Tribolium castaneum: one gene and its partner. The protein of the gene in region 1 purifies or fractionates together with the protein of each later gene. This does not show direct contact. Links are inferred from orthologs where the notes say so. Each region holds a gene or a part of one and is shown on either strand. Other genes may lie near its edges.

Region 1 (3,800 bases):
TATTATTCATTCCCCAAAATTGATTCTTTAGCCGATGATAAGGTCGAGTCGGTTTTAAAAAAGGAGGGGTTTGGATACAGGGCTAAGTACATAAATCAATCAGCGAAAATAATAATGCAGGAAGGTGGCGAAAAATGGCTTGACGATTTGAAAAAACTGCCCTATGAGGAATCAAAGAGTAAATTAATGACTTTAACTGGGATTGGCCCTAAGGTGGCGGACTGCATTTGCTTGATGTCTTTGGGGCACTTGGGGACAATACCTATCGACACGCATGTTTACCAAATTGCGAGAAAATTTTATATGCCACATTTACCGAAACGTAAAAAAGTCACAGCGACGATTTATAAAGACATTGGGGACCACTTTCGGGAGCTGTACGGCCCTCTGGCAGGTTGGGCACACACTGTAAGTAAGTGGTCAATAGTTATGTGAAAAAATGCAGTCAAATTTTTAGGTCCTTTTTTGCGCCGACTTGAAAAAATTCCAAACCGACGAAAACTAATCTCATTTTAAATTTTATTCAATAAACTCAGTTTAATACATTTAGTTAATCAGTTTGCATGTGATCATCATCCTTATCTTCTTTTTTCTCGCCTTTCTTCTCCTTATCCTCTTCCTTTGACGAGTTTCCTTCAGTTTTTTCCAAGGCTTTCATAAAGTCTTGCATGTTTCCTTGCGCCGCCGCTGCCACCGCCTCCGGATTAACCGCCAATTGAGACACAACCGGCCCCAACTGTCCCGACTCTAAAGCACTAGAAAACTGGGAAACGGCCTAGAAAAAATAATTAGAACAAAATTTTATTAATTTTTGTTTATCACTTGTTGGAACTGGGGCGAATTCAATGTTGCTCGCAAGGCGTCTTGGGGGTCACCCTCAACGGCCGGCAAATGATTTTGCAGGGCCTGAATAGCCCCCGGATTGTTTAAAATCCCGGACAGTCCTTCAGCAGTCAAAGCAGTTGATAAATCAACTAAAAATATTTTATTACACTTTTTCTTCAAAATTGTTTTGATTACCAGATTGTTGAGACGAAGCTTGAATTGGGGAAATCCCCTGCAGGAAATTCTGCAAGTCTGATAACTGAATTTTATGCCCGCATGGTGAGTCCGACGACCGGTTGGCTCGGGGGGCGCCCGGGGCTGTCGTGGGGGCTGTAGTTGTCTGCGGAGTGGCCGGCGATTGGCTGACGGCTGTGGTGGTGGTGTTGGTGGTTGGGGTGCTTGGGACTGTGGTACGGTGAGTTATAGCGGGGGTAGTGTTAGTACGAGCACTTCCGCTGTTGGGGCCCCTAAGTGTCATAGTTTTTACTATGCGTTTGAGCGTAATTATAAATACGTTACCTGATGGTCCCCAAGAGACTCGACAGCCCCCCCATCTGGCCCACGCCGCCTCCAAATAATTGCATGAGTTGGGATTGCGACATGTTATTAAACAGAGACTGCAAGTCCTGATCCGGGGACTGCGACGACTGGACCGCGCTTGAGGGGTTGTTCAACAACTCGTTTATGCGCTTGCAGTTGTCTTCGTCTTTATCAGTGCGGGGCTCCTATGGTTTAATTGGTGATTTAATTAATTAAGAAAAGGGGCGCCCTACTTGCAACCAGAAGAAAAATTTGCGATTGGATGATTTAAATTTCAACAAATAGACTCTTCCAGTGGTGCACTGGGGCACTTTAATGTATTCGCAATCATCAGGGAAGATTATGAGGTCGTCCTCAACAATACCGCTGGTGCGATCTTGCCAACAGAAGTGCATCAAAGAGTCCTCGCTTTGGTACACGTAGAGAAGACCCTTGCGTTTGTCAGGGTACACCATGCGACCTAACAAAAATTTGATTATGGGAGCTTACTGAAGAGTTTTGATAATTACCTTTCAAACTCATTTTGCCCGCCCGTACTTCAACCAAGTGTTTGTTACCGCCAGTTGAACCGGGGCCCGTAGCGGCACTGCCGAATAATGCACCTCCAGCAGGCATTTTTGCAATGTTTTGTTCTAGACAGTAAAGTGAGGTTAGGGAATGATGACAAGACAAAATGTCTTTGTGCTTTAAATTAATACAAATTTTTGAAAATAAAATAGAATAAGCAGATGCAAATGATATATAAATTATCACCAAATTTTATATCAATTCGTAATTAACGTAATATAGCAACAAATTTAAAATATCAGTATTTTCTAGTAAAAAATTAAATATATTTCTAACTTAATGTTTAAAAGATATACTTACGTTTTGTAATTAAAATGTACTTGAAATAATGTTATTTCACAAAGTTGGGAGTTGTGTATTAGTGTCCCTAATGATTTGTTTCACTTGGAAAAATCCACAAAGGAGGTGGTAACCTTAGGGATAGTTTGGATGGGTTGGAACTTGTGACACTTCCATAAGGCGCCAACATTTTGAAGGTTTGAAACTGATCGGGGAAAAACCTACAGCCACAACGTCCCTGATTAAAATAACACCTATAATTTTTCGCGTAGCAAACAAAAATTACAGGTAGATGGAGCATTAAATCTTAATAGTAAGACAACCAAAATGCAAAACTTTTATCGTAAACCATTCGTAAAAAAAATAAATTAACTTTTGCCAATTTGCACTCTGCCTCATTTATTTCAAAAGGCTGCAAATACGGTTACAGATACAAAAAATGTTAGGAAGGAAGTTGTAGAGAATTAAATTTTCTACAAAAAAGTCCGCGAGACCATATGCCTGTGTCCAACTATTTAGGCCCCAAAATTTGCTTCATTTTGTCGGTGGTCAAGTATTGGAAAGTTTATTTATACCTAAACTGTTGAAGATAGAATTATGGTGTTGTGGACTTTTTTATAGAAAATTTAATTTTTTTATAGTTTCTTACACTTTTTTTGTTTCTGTAATCGTATTCGCAGCAAACGTAAAATTATAAGGTGGAACGCAAATTGATAATTCTAAGCGAAAATCCTTTTTGCACCGTCACATATTTATTAGATATATATCTTCTACGGTTTAGGTATAAATTAACTTTCCGTAACTTGACCACTGGTAAAATAAGACGAATTCGTTGCTTCAGCGTCTTTGGGGCCTAAACCATTGACGATAGACATATGATCTCGCGGACTGTTAAAGGAAATTTAGTTCTCTACAAATTTCTTTTGAACATTTTTCTTACTTCTTCAACTGTATTCGCATCGTCTTGAAAAATACGGGACCAACAGCACATTTTCAATAATTTTTGTCTTATGTTTATTATGTAAATTTTAGTCGTCAGTCTTTCTCAGTCAGTGCAAGGCTCAACATTTCTGCATTTTTTTCAAGTAATTAGTGCAATGGTCAAATTTAAATTAATTTAAAATGATTTGGCGCCGAGACGTTGTAATGCTCGATACGCCGTCAGTTTTACATTTTTACTCTACCGTACTATTTTTCTGGGTTCAGAAAATCAGGCGGTTTTGTATCTCATTTTGTCCTCTAAGTTATAGTCCTCTGTAGTCTTAATACGGGAAATAGTAATAAAAACAACTATTAAATAAGTAGAATATATTAATAATTTACATTTAGTTATTAAATTAACAACATTATGAAAGTTAGTTAATAAAATATTCTAACATGGATATTGTAATATTTAACAAAATAAAATACATTCATTGACTTGGGTAGTTTGCGATTTGCATTTCTCAAATATCAATTAAAAAAAAGGTTAAACTAGACAGTTCAAAATATTGTGAGACTATCAGTGATTATTTCATTGTTATTAATCTATGCCTATTAGCATCACTGTGAAAATTATCACAAAAATAGTAATTGCGCGATTATTCCGA
Region 2 (3,160 bases), about 5.6 Mb from region 1:
CTTCTCAAGCAGTCAAAATCCGTGCTGATATTGAATGTGCATGTTACGGCTATGAAGGAATTGACGCTGTGAAGACAGCCTTGAAGTCCGGTTTGTCGCTTTCAACTGATGAATTGCCAATTAAAATCAATCTCATTGCTCCTCCTCTCTACGGTAAAAAACTCATTTCCAACTAGAATTAATTATTTATCCGTGTAATTTTAGTAATGACGACTTCTACGCCTGAAAAACAAGACGGGCTGAAAATACTAAACGATGCAATTGAGAAAATAAAAGCCACAATTTCTGAATTAGGTGGCGTTTTTAACGTTCAGATGGCTGTAAGTGATTTAATTTCCTTGTTTAGGACCTGCTTTTTACGTAAATTTTTAGCCTAAAGTTGTGACAGCTACCGATGAAGCTGAGCTGCAAAGACAAATGGAAAGAGCCGAATTGGAAAACACTGAAGTTGCGGGCGACGACGACGATGAAGAAGACGGAGATGAGGGACAAGTTTACAATGAGAATGATAATGAATCTGAACCTGAAGAAGATTAAACAAACCTCAAACGTTTTATGATTAAATACCATGTGTATTATAAGTTTTTATATTGAAGCTTGTGGTTTAATTCAATATTTTAAGCCAATAAAATATTGTAAAGGTGAAAATGTGTTTATTATAAAGAAAAAAATACAATTTAACCCTCAAAGAATTTTGGCAGTTGGTCGCCCAAGACCACTCTGCGCTCGATTCCCTCCTCTGTAATAATTCCTAATCTAACCACACCACCCGAAGAACCATCGCGTGACATTGCGAGTGCCAAAGCTGTAAAAACTGAGTTAGAAAAAATTTCTCACGAAAAAATAACCTACTGTTTGTAATGAATTTAACACACTCTTCCTTCGACATGTTCGGTTTATAGTTGGCGTCAACGTACCCGTACACGTAACTAGAGCCTGAACCCCCAATGGAGACCTGCTGTCTCACACACATGCCTCCAATGGGGATTGAGTACACTTGCCCCCCTTTACGTTTATCCCAACCCGCAACCAGAATACCGGCCATTAGGGAATCACGATAGTTGTAACACAACTCGCGAAAAACCGCAGCCCCTGTCTCCACCAAAGGCTCTTCCCCTAACTCCATTCTACAAACCAAAATTTTTATAAAAAAATTAGCTAAAATTATCTCTACCCATGAAAACTTAGATGGTAGGCCACAATGTCCGCAATAGCCTGGGTATCGGCCGCGGAGCCAGAGCGGCAGCAGTAAATATGGTCGGTTACTTTAGTCAGTTTGTCTGTGACACGATTTGCGATGTATGCTCTACAATTAGTGGGGGTTATTTTTTATATAGTGATATATTGAGTGTGTTACCCCGTAGTGGTTCGAGAATCGGCCCCAATAATTACGCCCCCATTGAATTCCGCTGCCATAATAGAGGTCTAAAACAACAAGTCATGGGGACCTAACCTCACCGAATTTTTCGGGGAAAAACTTACACCAGTGCTGTGGGCAGCGTTCATCCAGTCACTTTCAGCATTCATGCCGTAATCACTTGTTACAGGTGGCATTTTACGGGAAAATTAATTCACAAGTAAAAAGCGGTAACAAGAGAATTTTTGATTGACAATAACAGTGTCGCCCATAGAATAAGAGAGAGGAAGAAGCGAATCTCTCTGTCTACCCCTCGTTTTTTCGCGAAAGCGCCACCTAACCTGGGGAGAACAAACTAATTCGATAATAGCGGGAAATTCAAACAGGACATTTTATTTATTTTCCAAATTTAAAGAATTATAAATGTTAAATGTTTCTGTACTCATGCACTGTTACGAGACATTTTAATAAAAAAGCATCTGTAACAGTTGCAATAGCACAAAAACATTTAACATCGCTTAATAAAATGAAACAAAGTCTTTCCAATAAAAATTTATTAAAAAAATAATAACGTGCTGGAATGTATAGGCAAAATTAATTTAACTCGAATTGTTGTTCATAAACATACTCAGATGTAATAATATATGTAAATACATTGTCTAAATATACACAATGATCCAGAGAAACTGAGTATGTTGGCATCAGATTAAATTATTGAATTGCTACCTGAAAGTGTACACTATTGGTATCCTTTAAAATTTAAATTCAGATTGCTAACAGACACAGTATTTCGGGATCAGTCTGTATAAATACATCAGTTTTGTTGGTTTGATTACTTGTCTACAGACTGTTCAGAAAAGCAAAAAAATATCAAAATTTTGCTTGTAACCTTTGACAATAGTCCAATTTTTAAGTCCCTTAAGGCTAAATTTAAACAACTATTTTTCGAAATTTATTCGCGGTTATAAGGTTTACGGACGTTTGTAAAAGCGGCCCTAACACGTACTTTAACAGTTTGATGTCAAAGTTCTTGATAAGTTTTGAAATTTTTTAAAAGTAATCTCGATTGCATCATAGTTATTAGTAAATTACTCAAACACAAGAGAATTACAAGTGTGCTAAAATTATTTTAAATAAAAACCCACATATCTGATATACATAACTATCACTGGAAGTTAACTGATTAAAACTACCATGTAATCATTTAAATTTATAATAATAGTAGGCTTTAATATTGATTAACTTGTATGATACTTGTAGAATACGTTTTTTCGCTTAGTTTCTAAATTAAGCAATCACAAAAAGGACAAACCTTGTTTTTTTAACAGGCATAGGCGTTATAACATTGTGTAAAACAACATAAAAGATTAAGACATAGAGGGACATGGCGAATTTGAAAACCTTGAACCATAGCAAGTCCTAAACTCCCTGCTTTCACAAAATACTAGCTTCGCAACTACAATAAATTTATTTATTATTATGATATACCTATTAATTACTGCACATGATATTTAACTCGTCTTCATGGGATTTTCAATTACATCCCAAGAACCGTTATCATCTCCAAGGACGGTCTTCATCTCCTAAGTTTGTGTGATCCTTCTTGGTGTAATATGATTATATTAATATCTAGAAATCGCAATTAATTGTTGTATAGACACCTTTCAATAACGTTTACCTTAATTTGCCTTAAGTTGATTCATCCTTCATTAAAACACTGTCATTCACACTATACACTAGATTCAAATAAAAGATCCATATAAAAGTAGAGATGTTTGATCACAAAAACATCCAAAAAATCAC

The links.
Region 2: the proteins of proteasomal ubiquitin receptor ADRM1 (region 1) and Prosbeta1 fractionate together in Homo sapiens (co-fractionation; 3 studies listed by BioGRID, with this or other methods). This does not show direct contact. The link is inferred for Tribolium castaneum from reciprocal best matches to the Homo sapiens genes ADRM1 and PSMB6.

What each region holds. Positions count from the first base shown.
Region 1 is NC_087396.1:16,648,281-16,652,080, forward strand, and holds proteasomal ubiquitin receptor ADRM1, read right to left. Parts: upstream 2,391-3,800; 5' UTR 2,233-2,390; intron 1,998-2,232; 5' UTR 1,981-1,997; coding exon 1,875-1,980; intron 1,826-1,874; coding exon 1,599-1,825; intron 1,551-1,598; coding exon 1,345-1,550; intron 1,293-1,344; coding exon 1,021-1,292; intron 975-1,020; coding exon 823-974; intron 776-822; coding exon 551-775; 3' UTR 517-550; downstream 1-516. Other genes in the region: Ogg1 (N-glycosylase/DNA lyase), read left to right, coding at 1-412, 458-516. UniProt on the Homo sapiens protein: Component of the 26S proteasome, a multiprotein complex involved in the ATP-dependent degradation of ubiquitinated proteins.
Region 2 is NC_087396.1:11,001,458-11,004,617, forward strand, and holds Prosbeta1 (proteasome subunit beta type-6), read right to left. Parts: upstream 1,648-3,160; 5' UTR 1,555-1,647; coding exon 1,483-1,554; intron 1,426-1,482; coding exon 1,358-1,425; intron 1,307-1,357; coding exon 1,175-1,306; intron 1,128-1,174; coding exon 853-1,127; intron 806-852; coding exon 678-805; 3' UTR 634-677; downstream 1-633. Other genes in the region: eIF2alpha (eukaryotic translation initiation factor 2 subunit 1), read left to right, coding at 1-153, 205-320, 373-537. UniProt on the Homo sapiens protein: Component of the 20S core proteasome complex involved in the proteolytic degradation of most intracellular proteins. This complex plays numerous essential roles within the cell by associating with different regulatory particles.